Oryctolagus cuniculus: one gene and its partners. The protein of the gene in region 2 interacts with the protein of the main gene of each other region in a pairwise test. Links are inferred from orthologs where the notes say so. Each region holds a gene or a part of one and is shown on either strand. Other genes may lie near its edges.

Region 1 (4,202 bases), on a different chromosome or scaffold from region 2:
ATTTTTGCTCATGTTCTTCTCAAGCTCACAGGAACTTCTAGAGAGGCTACCCAGAGTTAAGGAATTTGCTTAGTTCCTTTCTTTGTAAACACGGAACCAATGTTTGAGCAACCAAAATACAGGTCTGAGGCCAAAATCTGTTCATTGCAGATATACTTATTATGTCTCAATGAAATCACAACTTTTCATTATTTTTTAACTGTTTCTACTATCTTTGGTTATCTACTTCTCACAACAAATTAGAACAAGCCACTTAGAATCACCCTATATCAAACTGTTATTGTTTCTTAGCGGAATTCTAAAATATTGTATCAAAAAATGAGTACACATCTAAAAGGTGCCTTTAAAAATTTTCTGAAACTCCAAGCCATTACTGAAAATCGACAAGTTGTTTTAATGTAAATAGAAGGCTTTAGTTTTTTACCCCAGACTAACCTAAAATATTAGTTTATAATTATAGCAATAGCAACAAAGTTATATTTATATAAATAGCAACAAAAAAGCTAAAGCTCCCCCCCATAAAACTTTCTGGAAAATATACATCTGAAAGTGTAATTCATTACATTCCCTTGGAATCGAAGGAAAGCAATGAATACAGTTAAGAACTTCTACAAATACAGCATTGGCTCCATGTGTAAAATGCCAAAAAGAGCTAGAGGAGGAGTATTTCAGTGAAGCTATGGAAAGTATCACTGCACAACTTCAATAAACCCAGATACTTTAAAAAAAAAAAAAAAACTTTAGGTTTCAATAATTCTGGAATTGACTATTATAAACTGAGTTACCATGGCTCCGACACTTATTACCACACAGAACCGAAGTCAATTAGGCAGTTTATGTAGTTTGGTCTGAAATTAAAGACAACTGCATTTTAAACTTTGTCATTCAACTTATTAGTATAAACCCTAGCAACAGGAAAATATTCAAGAATTTCCTTCTATTAGCAGTATTAGCACACAGGGTGTTGCCAGTTACTTCTGAGCACACTGAAAGTTTCTCACACAGAACTGGTATCTCCTGTACCTTTACAAATTCATCACACAGCATTCATCTACATTTGATGAATTATTTTGAAATTACTTTGTGCCACAATTCCGAAAGGACTGGCAACTCTCTTGGTTTCTTAAACAAACTGAAAATGCAGAAAAATTTACAAGATTAAATGAGACAGGTAAAACTTAACATCATCTTCCCTCAAAGGTACCTATTGATCGAATGATTCTGTTTATTGACCTCCAACTAAATACCATTTAATCCTCAGGTATTTATATCTATTATGGAGGACGAAACAGAGTAATGTGCGCAAGGTCATACCAAATAAGTGCCAAAGCCACAGACGGAACTCATGTCTACTTAACACCAAGGCCCCGATCTCCAACCAAAATAAAAATCAAATATTTTTTAAAATAAAGATAAGCAGCAAGCTGCTGGTTTCAACTTGACATTACGACAGTCTTAACGGTGTATGGGGGCGTGACAACTCTGGAACACACGCAGCAGAGTTAAACTCGGGGCATTTTTCATTTCTTGGGATAAAGCTGAATTGATTCCAACAGAGCGCGTCTTTTTGCAGCCACAAGTAGAGAAGATGGCATGAGATTGGGTCACGTGGACTGGAGCTCTTAAGACTTTACAGAAGAAATTCAGAGTTCGTATTTTATGTTCGTTTCTTTCCCCTAAATTGCAAGTATTGGGGGGGGGGGGTGTCCAGGGTTCCAACCCCTACCATTCCAAGGCTTCCAAAAGAGGGACCCGCGCAATCTGGAGTTGAGTCCGAGCCCGGATTCGCAGGGCTCCGAGGCACACACCTCGCCACCAGAGTTCTCGGAGTGTAATCTGCGTGTGCGTGTGTGCTGGGGGCCAGGAGGACGGCAGAAAACCATTCGAGACGTATGCAAACAAAAGGGTTAACCTTTCCAGAGAAGGGGGCAATGAACTCATTTTCACCACTCACTCGGCCACAGACGGAACCTGATCCTTCTTTTTAAGGCCCATCAGCTCGGGTTACCAACTCCTAGCCCTCCGCGCCTAACCAGCTCCACGTCTCCGTCGCCCTCCCCCACCTGGGCACCCGCAGCCGCGGCCCGGGCTCCACCGCCGGGGCTGCCCGACCTCCCCTCCCCCTCAGCCCCAGCGCCACGAGCTCCGCGGCCGAGGCCTGCGGGCCCCGCGGGCGTGCGCTCCACGCCATCTGCCACCAGGCCTCCGGCGTCCGGCCACCGCTCCCCGAAGCTCCCTGCTACAAAGCCCCCGGCCAACTCTTGTGGGGCCGGGTCCGCCGCACACGCCGCTGGGGCCTCCGCGCCCTCGGGTGCTCGGCCCCGCGCGCAGCCGCCGGCGCCCCCGCGCTCCCCGCCGCGCGTACCGTCTCCTCGGGGTCGATGTCGATCTTGAAGGTCTGCTGCTGAAGGGTCTTCAGGGTGACCTGCATGGTGCCGCCGCGCAGCTCCGCTGCCGGGCCTCCGCCGGGTGCTGGCCGCTGGGCGGGGTCTGTGGCCTGGCCCGGCCCTGGGGTCGCCCGCGCTCCTCGCGCTCTCTGGAGGAAGGCGGTGGGGGTGGGGGCTTGTCACATTCGCCCTGCGGAGCGGCCTCTCCCCCAGTCCGGGCCCCGGGCCGCGCCGCTGCCTCCGCGACTCCGGCCTTTCCCGCGAGCTCCGGCCGCCGTGCTTCCTCACGCGCCCGCCGCCAGCCCCCGAGTCTGCAGGAAGCGCGAGGGGCTCTGTGAGACCTGCAGAGAATCCGCTAGCTCACCACAGGATGGTGGCCGCCATCATCGTGACTCGCCGAGACGTGCCCCCTCCCCCACCTGAAAAAACCTGGGGGATGGGGCCGGGCGGGCGAAGCGCGCAGGCGCAGGCTGCGACGAAGTAGTGCGCAGGCGCGGTCCAGAGCTCCGCCCCGGAACTGGGGGCGTGGCGGCTTGCGGCTCTGGAATGTTGGCCGCCTGGATCGGGGTGCGCAGGCGCACGCCGTGGGCGTCCGGTGAGCTTGGGGCGTGCTCGCAGGGTTTACAGCCGGGGCGTTCTTCCAACCGGCTGTCGCTCCGCCCAGGTCCAGACCCCACCCAGCTGCCCGAATTGCGCAATCCGTAGCTGGGGAAGCGCTACGTGGAAACCTGTCTGAGTAGATGCTGAGCCTAGAAAAGGAGAGGTAGAAGGCGGAGTGAAAAGTGGAGGGATCGCGGGAGCCGCAGTCCTGGGCCAACACTTGCGGGGCGCTTGCTGCCGGGGTGAGCCTGTGTGTGTAATCGGCTGATGCTTAATCCTGAGGGCGCGGACTCCAGAGCGCGACCGCCTGGGCTCACACCGTGCCTTTTTCTCCCTGGCTTTGAGACTTGAATCTCCACAGGCCAATTTGAAACGCAGGTGGTTGTCTCTCCAGTGAGCAGACGTGTTGACGAGTTCCCTCCTGGCCCTCTCCGAGTAAAAGTCCAAGTCCTTAGAACTGAGTGCGTCGGCCCGTCCTGCACCGCCACAGGGCTGTCTGTGCCCTTGCCATCACTTCCCCTCCTGCAGCTCTTCGCTCAGACTCGGTGAGGTCCATCCTGGCTACCCTACTGGAAATCACAACTGTCCTAGCTCCTCTATCCTGATCGTTTTTCCCATAGCGTGTATCACCTAATCTTACCATCTAATGTACATGTTTACTGTGTGTATCATCCTTCTCCCTTTCCATTAAGCCCCTGACTGAAGCTACACAAAGGTGTGGATTTTGTTTTGTTCCCCGGTGTATCCCCGGCACCTAAGAAACGCGCCTGGCACACTGCAGGCATACAGTGAATATTCGTAAAATGGGTACCTGTGTTTCCAGCTCCTCAGCACTAACGTGGGGTACTAACAGCACCCAACTCGTTGGTTATTGGAGGGGAGTTCAATAAAGTATGCAAAATCTTAATGTAAGGAGCCTAATCAACAGTCCATAAGCGGTTAGCCATTGATTACATGTCCATTTACAGGGGCAAAAGCTGAAGTACAAGGCTGTTGAGCCGCGTGCCTGTAGTCGGCCACCTGTGAAGTGGCAAACCAGACTCGACTCTGAACTGGGCCAGAATGACTCCAGGAATAGGGCTCCCTGGAGCACGTTTGACTTAAAGCGATTCGAGGATGAAGCCCAGTTACCGTTGGACCACTAGCTGTGTGAGCAAATGTACATTAATCTCTCTGAGCCAGCATCCTCAATGATACAAGTCACTGCTGGCTTGT
Region 2 (4,140 bases):
AGAGGTGCTCAGGACAGCTCTGCTCACAGCCTGTATGAGACTGGGCAGCTGGTGGTGTCATCCAGAGGGTGCTGTGGACTGCTGTAAGGAGAGCCGTCTGGTCTGTGACCACGTGGCAGCGCCAAGTAATCATTTTCTCCAGTAAGGAGAAGGAAATTAATTTAAGAGATAGTCCAAAGTATGTTCTTGTTAAGTACGCAGTATAGGGGTCTGGGTTACAGTGTCATGTCTCACCTAGGAAAAATTTTCAATTAAAGGAGAATAATGCAATATTTGTATGTATCTTACTTGGTGACATTTAGTTTTAAAAGTTTTCTGCTTTTCACATTTTCATTAAAATATGATTTTAAAAAAGGCCTGTTATTCGTACCAAATACAGCAAAACTTACGTTCTGTCAGCTTACAACTTCTGGCTCTGGTAATCTCAGAGCAGTGCTACACAAAGCATGGGCAGGGAACTGCAATAGCCGCTAGAGTTTTGGTACTTTTGCAGACTCTGAGCTCTGCCAAGACCTCCTGACTCACAACTTGAACCGCTACTATCACCTGCTCTGGGAAATGTGTGTGCACTTTGTAAACTGCTACCAGTGTCCCACCAGTGCCCTTTGCTGGGACAGGACTTTAGGGTCCCCAGTAGCCCCAAGGAAAACAGCTAAGTCTTCCCTCTGTGGAAGAAACCTGCTTTGGGAAAGAAAAGAGAGAAGTTTCGGTACCTCGTGGGTAATTCTCATGCAATCACGAGAATAATGAGAGAATGAAATCTTGATAGTTTCCTGTATCTCAATGAGCCTTGAAAATTGCATGCATTTGTAAAATGAAGGTAGTAGCTGTATTTTTTATTTTTTGCCGTCCCCTAGGACACAGTGGATAAAAATTAACAAGGACAGAGACGTTTGGTTAGTTAGTAGGTACCGAGCTTGTAGTTTGCACCTGGACCTATACTTTGCACATAGCCCTGTGTGCATAGCTTGGAATACACAAACAGGAGGAGCCACTGGTGAAAGTCAGAGCCAGTCCCAGTCCAATGGGTGAGAGACACCTATCATAGTAGCCGCAATGGTTGCTGGGACTGATGTGACAGGTGGTGGTCCTGTCGGCCTCTATTGAGCACGTACAAGCTGGACTGTGAGCAACTCTGCAACGCAACAGTTCTCAGTATGGTTTGAATTCTCTGTTCCCCCTCCAGTCATGACTCAGAGGAGAAACGTGCGGTGGACAGGGCACAACCCCTTTATTGCAGGAGTGGGGTGGAGGTGGAGATGGGGGTGGGCGTGGCCGTAGACGTTGCCGGGATGCATCTGCGAGTGGGCGGTGCTGAAGACCGTTGCTTACCCGACAATTTCTTTCCCGCCACAAACTCGCGGCTCATTCCGTACAGTGGCGGCGGCAGAGTGGCCACGCTGCACGGGCGCTGTGGCCTGGAGGCATTCCCAGAAGGTAAGGAGCTGGGTTTGGGCACAAAAGGGAACCAAGGTTACAACAGATTCCCTCCAATGATCCTGGTTGACCTCCATGAGGTCCCAGGGGCCAGTGGCCTTAGATTCCCCTGGAAGCAGAATCCTAGGGGTCCCTGATATTTCCAGTTATCATGAGTGGCCTCAGAACTTTAGGAGGGCCCATTCTACCCCAAACCTGCCCAGACGTAGCAGTAAGGACAACTGGTTCTGGCCCTTATCCTTGAGGGAAAGTGGCTTTGGCCATTCCTGTTCTAGCCTCTAGCTACCTCTGCTGACTAGATGTGTCCCTGCTCAGAGTAGTGGAAAGGGTGTGTGAGGTTAGGAGTGAATGGGACAGCCTGATGGGTACAGGAGGTTAAAGATAATGAGGTGGGGGAAAGGAGTACAGGGAAATGGAAGTGAGGAACTTGGGTGGGTGCAGGACGTGCACATGAATGGCGGAGTGTATGACACTCGGATGGACACAGAGTTTGGCGGTTCAGTGGCTCTTGGTGAAAGTGGCTTTTGGCGCCAGAAATGGCGCTTGCGCAAGACGCAGTTTGCCGGTTCAGTGGATCTTCAGAGGTTGGCTTTTGGCGCCAGGAATGGCGCTTGCGTGGACGCAGAGTTTGGCGCCAGAGGTGGGGCTTACGTGGACGCAGAGTTAGACGGCAGGGGTGGGGCTTGCGTGGACGCAGAGTGTTGCGCCGGGGTGGGACTTGCGTGGACGCAGAGTTTGACGGCAGGGGTGGGGCTTGCGTGGACGCAGAGTGTTGCGCCGGGGTGGGGCTTGCGTGGACGCAGAGTTTGACGGCAGAGGTGGGACTTGCATGGACGTAGAGTGTTGCACCAGAGATGGAACTTGCGTGGACGCAGAGTTTGACGGCAGGGGTGGGGCTTGCGTGGACGCAGAGTTTGGCACCAGAGGTGGGGCTTACGTGGACGCAGAGTTAGACGGCAGGGGTGGGGCTTGCGTGGACGCAGAGTGTTGCGCCGGGGTGGGACTTGCGTGGACGCAGAGTTTGACGGCAGGGGTGGGGCTTGCGTGGACGCAGAGTGTTGCGCCGGGGTGGGACTTGCGTGGACGCAGAGTTTGGCGCCAGAGGTGGGGCTTGCGTGGACGCAGAGTTTGACGGCAGGGGTGGAGCTTGTGTGGACGCAGAGTGTTGCGCCGGGGTGGGGCTTGCGTGGACGCAGAGTTTGACGGCAGAGGTGGGACTTGCATGGACGTAGAGTGTTGCACCAGAGATGGAACTTGCGTGGACGCAGAGTTTGACGGCAGGGGTGGGGCTTGCGTGGACGCAGATTAGACGGCAGGGGTGGGGCTTGCGTGGACGCAGATTAGACGGCAGAGGTGGGGCTTGCGTGGACGCAGAGTTTGACGGCAGAGGTGGGACTTGCATGGACGTAGAGTGTTGCACCAGAGATGGAGCTTGCATGGACGCAGAGTGTTGCGCCGGGGTGGGACTTGTGTGGACGCAGAGTTTGGCGCCAGAGGTGGGGCTTACGTGGACGCAGAGTTAGACGGCAGGGGTGGGGCTTGCATGGACGCAGAGTGTTGCGCCGGGGTGGGACTTGCGTGGACGCAGAGTTTGGCGCCAGAGGTGGGGCTTACGTGGACGCAGAGTTAGACGGCAGGGGTGGGGCTTGCGTGGACGCAGAGTGTTGCGCCGGGGTGGGACTTGCGTGGACGCAGAGTTTGACGGCAGGGGTGGGGCTTGCGTGGACACAGAGTGTTGCGCCGGGGTGGGGCTTGCGTGGACGCAGAGTTTGACGGCAGAGGTGGGACTTGCATGGACGTAGAGTGTTGCACCAGAGATGGAACTTGCGTGGACGCAGAGTTTGACGGCAGGGGTGGGGCTTGCGTGGACGCAGAGTTTGGCACCAGAGGTGGGGCTTACGTGGACGCAGAGTTAGACGGCAGGGGTGGGGCTTGCGTGGACGCAGAGTTTGGTGCAAGGAGTGGGGCTTGCGTGGACGCAGTTACATGGCAGGCGTGAGGCTTAGGTGGATGCAGAGCTTGGCCTTGGGGGTGTGGCTTGAGTGGAGGTGGGATTTGGGGCTTGGTGGGTGGGATTTTTCCCTGGGGGTGGAGCAGCAGTTTCTTGTATTCGTGAGCAGATTCAAAATTGGCACATCCTGAGCAGGGCATTTGGGACGTAACCACAGTGAAATACCTCTGCCTTGCTTTGGACAGATCCAGTGAAGGGATCCTGATCCATCTAACCTGGTTCGGGAACTGCCTGACAGGACAGAGCTGGAGAGCAAGCTGAGTGCCTGATTACATCAGAATCACAAACTCTACACGGCCAGTGGAATCCACACTGCCAAGTCGTCAAGTAAGTTATTTTGGAAGGTGAGCCTCTGTGACCCTGGCAAAGGACAAGGGGACAAAGGCTGCCTTCCAGGATCCACACACTCTGCAGGGTAGGGCCACACCTAGGGTGACAGTTGTCTGTTTCCTGCAGCGGGACAGTGGGAACCCTTCGTTGGGTCCCTTTTCTGCCCCTAATTCTAGCTGCTACACAATATGAAACCTTAAGCACTTGTTTTTTCAGCACTCAGTCCTTGCTGCTCACCTCACCCCCATCTCCCCTTCACTCTCCCAGCTCCCTTGCTGCTAGGACATTTCCATTGGCTGGAGGATAGTGACATCACCTGTTGCTCTTCAAGTGCCTTCACCTTACCACATGACACAGCCCTG
Region 3 (4,169 bases), on a different chromosome or scaffold from region 2:
TGGGAAAGCAGTAGAAGATGGCCCAATTCCTTGGGCCCCTGCACGCTCATGGGAAGACCCAGAAGAAGCTCCTGGCTCCTGGCTTTGGATCAGCACGCAGCTTTGGCCATTGCGGCCAACTGGGGAGTGAACCAGAGAATGGAACACCTCTCTCTCTCTCTGCCTCTCCTCTCTCTGTGTAATTCTTTCAAATAAATAAATAAATCTTTAAAAAATTATTATTCATTGAATATAAAATTATCATCTTGTTTTGGATAATTGATGGATGTGATCATCTGAGAGACAGAGAGAAAGAGATAGAGCATATATAGACCAATCAGCCCTTAAACTTCGTTAAAAATCAACATCATAAAAGAAATGCACACTAAATCTACAGTGAGACTATTTGTCACACAACAGACTGAAAAAATCCAAATGTCTGATCTATTCTGTTGGCAAGACAGTGGGGATAGTCATTCTCTTACAATGCTGGTGGCACTGTAAAATGTACAACCCTATGAAGGGTAATTGGGCAATATAAATCAATATTTCAAATGCATATGCCTTTGACCCATCAATTCCACTTTGTAGAATTTATCCTTGTAGATACGCTGGCAAAGGAACAAAATTGCAGGTTATTTATTACAGCGTTTTGTCTACCAATATGGGACTGGCTAAATAAATTACTTAAATACCATGTAGCCAAAAGTTAAATTTTAGAAAGAGTAAAGAAGCACTCTACTGATACAGAAATTACTCTGAGACATATTAAGTGAAAAATTATTCACTGTCTACTCTCTTCTGTATATTATGTACACCTCCGGAGGATACATAGGGAACCAGTTACCTTTGGTGGGGGGTTGCTGAGGCAGGGTGGGAAACAGGCAGACAGGCGAAGGAGTGGGAGAAGGCTTCATTTTTTAATCAGGTTTTCATATTATCAAGTCAAAAATGTAAACCAGAATTGCTTATCATTTAAAAATTATACATGGACCATCCACACTATGGAATATTGTTCAGTGATATAAAGAAATGAGCTACCAAGCCACAAAATGACAGGGAGGAACCTTAAATGCCTATTGCTAAGTGAAAAGAAACCAATTTGAAAAGGTTCCACCATGTATAAATTCAACTATATGATATTCTGTCAAAGGCAAAACCTTAGAGAAAGTGAGATCAGTGAGGGATGAAAGGGTGGGGCACAGAAGACTTGAGGGCACTGAAACTATTGCCTGCATCACTGTGTGACACTCAGTGGAGTCACGTGCAAGTGTCAAAACCCATAGAACTGTACAGCACAAAGGCTGAGCCCTCATGTCATCTAAGGACTTTAGTTAACAATAACGTGTTGACTGTGGCTCATTAATGGTAACAAATACAGCACACTACTGCAACACGTCCAATGTAGAGGACACTGAATAGGGAAAGAGGATATTTGGGAACACTCCACTATCTGCTCAATTTTCTGTAAACTTAAAAATCCTCTAAATAAATCGGTCTATAAGGCCGGCGCCGCGGCTCACTAGGCTAATCCTCCGCCTTGCGGCGCCGGCACACCGGGTTCTAGTCCCAGTTGGGGCGCCGGATTCTGTCCCGGTTGCCCCTCTTTCAGGCCAGCTCTCTGCTGTGGCCAGGGCGTGCAGTGAAGGATGACCCAAGTCCTTGGGCCCTGCACCCCATGGGAGACCAGGAGAAGTACCTGGCTCCTGCCTTCGGATCAGCGCGATGTGCCGGCCGCAGCGCGCCGGCCGCGGGGGGCCATTAGAGGGTGAACCAACGGCAAAAGGAAGACCTTTCTCTCTGTCTCTCTCTCTCTCACTGTCCACTCTGCCTGTCAAAAAAAAAAAAAAAACCGGTCTATAAATTTTAAAATGTGTGTTTGTGTGCGTGCCTTCCGTCACCCAGGAAATGCCTTAGGTGCTGCCAGTACTCAATATAGTGCAGTGCTATGGTTACAGCCATACTGAGCTGAGTCAAGAGCTCAGGTGCTCACTTTATTGTGAAAACAAGTTACCTATGCCACCCTTCTATGAGCATGCCAGACAGGGCAAATAAGATTGCAAATCAGGTCTTTTAGTAGGTTTTGTCCCCTGCCTTGTAACTGAATGTCAAGCTGGTAAGTTTTTTTTTTTCCCCAAAATTGTGCCAATACACCCCAATAACCACCGGCCCCTTCCCCTTCGGGTTTTGCCTTTCTTGGAACCCCCTCCAATGACATGAACAATGCAGGTAAAATGTTTAGCACGGTGCCTAACGGGAAAGGAAAGCTCAAAATGAGAGCGGGTGCTGTCACGGTAAAATGATCATTCATCCAATGACTGAATCGCCACTTCAGGTTCCAAGGGTCCTTAATCCACTACCAGCATAACCAACAGGGCCTCAAATTCTCAGCTCCAATAAGGCCCCAAATTCTGAACCCCAACCTGTCCTCCTTTGAGTACTATCCGCATTGCCTGAGCTCCAGCCCAGACACTTTGCAGTCTTTACTCTCCAGATGCTATTTTTCCTCTGTAGGGTCTTAGGCGTTCAGCCCTAGAACCCCCGCCTCTCCGCCCCTCCCCATCCCTCGCTACCCGGCCCATTCCAGACCCCGCCCCCGCCTCCTCCCAGACATGGCCTAAAGTCGTCTTCACTTCTCTCCTTCCCCCAGGCTGAAGGAAGCTCCTACCCAGATACTCGTAGTCCGGTAGGGCTAGGCGCTCCGGACTCAGCATCTTTAGACCCGGGTATCTTCAAAGCTCCAGCTACCCGGCTTCCGGAACCCAGGTCGCCGGCTCCCTCCGTTGCCATGGCACCCACGCGGCAGGAGGAAAGGTGAAAGGCGGAGAGGGTGTCACGCAAACGGTCTCCGTATGGAAACTCCGAACTGGCCACACAAGTTCCGGGAGCAGTCGCTTCGCGGCTGTTGCGGTTTTTCTGGGCTCCTATTCTTGAGGACTTGGTTTAAAAGGAATCTGAGATGGAGAATTCTTTTGAATCCGTCATATTTTCTGGTGTCGAAGAATTACTGTCAGCTGTCCATATCTGTAATTTCTGAATTTCATAACTATTCCTGCTTTGTACAGCTGTTATCTTAACTCACCATAATAGCTGCCACCCATGAACTTCCATAAATACTTAGTATCCCATTACCTAATCTCTTTACTATCTTAAATTGCTACAAAGCGCTTTCACGTGCGTGTGTTTTGGCTGCTTCTGGAGGTTGGGGAGTGTCTTCTGTCCACGATAGTGCTGGATACCAAAAGGTGCTTTCTTAGTCCTAAAGTAATTGACATTTCTCTCAAATTTCCTAAGCCCTTCTTTCTCCTCTCCCTTACTAGTTGATACCTTTTCCAAGTGTCTTTTTCCTTCCAAGATACTTCATTTCCTGTGGAGAGAGGTGCATAAACTGGGATATTTATTAGATTTTTCCCCAAAAGACACCCAACTGCTATTTTTAAAAATGATTTATTGATCTGTTCGAAAGGCAGAATTACAGAGAGGGAGAGACACAGAGACATCTTCTATCCACTGGTTTACTCCCTAAATGGCTGTAATGGCCAGGGCTGGATCAGAACGAAGCCAGGAGCCAAGAGATTCCTCCAGGTCTCACAAGCAGGGGCCCAAGCACTTGGACCATCTTCTACTGCTTTCCCAGGGGCATTAGTAGGGAGCTGGATTGGAAATAGTACAGCCACAACTGGAACCGGCACTCATATGGGATGTTGATGTCACAAGTGATTTAATCCACTGCACCACTGTGCCAGCCCCCAAACTGCTTTGTGTGGATGTGGTTTTGCTTGTTTATTTTGTTTTTTAAGATTTTATTTTACTTTTTTGAAAGGCAGAGAGAAAGAGAGATCTTCTATCCACCGGTTCACTCCCCAAATGGCCATAATATCCAGGGCTGGGCCAGGCCAAACCAGGAGCCTGGAGTTCCGTCCAAGTCTTGATGGCAGGAACCCAAGTACTTGGGCCATCATCTGCTTCTTTCCAAGTGCATTAGCAGGGAGCTGGATCTGAAGTGGAGCAGCTGGGACTCCAGCTGGTGATCTGATACAGGACGCATGTGGCAGGTGGCAGCTTCCCCATTGCTTTAAAAAAAAATTTCCTTTAGAATGAGAAAGTATTCACTGGTTTTCGACTTCCCAGATGTTTCTCAGTTTGCTCCACTCCCCTTCTAACAGCAGGTCAGAAGTCTGTGGCACTTG

What was found. The genes of interacting proteins can lie anywhere in the genome.
Region 1: the proteins of PNMA5 (region 2) and RAD23B interact in binary tests that used the Homo sapiens proteins (3 or more experiments, as listed by UniProt). The two-hybrid records come from large-scale screens. The link is inferred for Oryctolagus cuniculus from reciprocal best matches to the Homo sapiens genes PNMA5 and RAD23B.
Region 3: the proteins of PNMA5 (region 2) and CSTPP1 interact in binary tests that used the Homo sapiens proteins (3 or more experiments, as listed by UniProt). The two-hybrid records come from large-scale screens. The link is inferred for Oryctolagus cuniculus from reciprocal best matches to the Homo sapiens genes PNMA5 and CSTPP1.

What each region holds. Positions count from the first base shown.
Region 1 is NC_091432.1:211,021,746-211,025,947, reverse strand, and holds the start of RAD23B (UV excision repair protein RAD23 homolog B), read right to left. Parts: upstream 2,818-4,202; 5' UTR 2,432-2,817; coding exon 2,366-2,431; intron 1-2,365. UniProt on the Homo sapiens protein: Multiubiquitin chain receptor involved in modulation of proteasomal degradation. Binds to polyubiquitin chains.
Region 2 is NC_091453.1:131,406,253-131,410,392, reverse strand, and holds the start of PNMA5 (paraneoplastic antigen-like protein 5), read left to right. Parts: upstream 1-1,309; 5' UTR 1,310-1,437; intron 1,438-3,633; 5' UTR 3,634-3,775; intron 3,776-4,140.
Region 3 is NC_091432.1:19,008,775-19,012,943, forward strand, and holds the start of CSTPP1 (centriolar satellite-associated tubulin polyglutamylase complex regulator 1), read right to left. Parts: upstream 2,818-4,169; 5' UTR 2,694-2,817; coding exon 2,648-2,693; intron 1-2,647. UniProt on the Homo sapiens protein: Regulator of the tubulin polyglutamylase complex (TPGC) that controls cytoskeletal organization, nuclear shape, and cilium disassembly by balancing microtubule and actin assembly.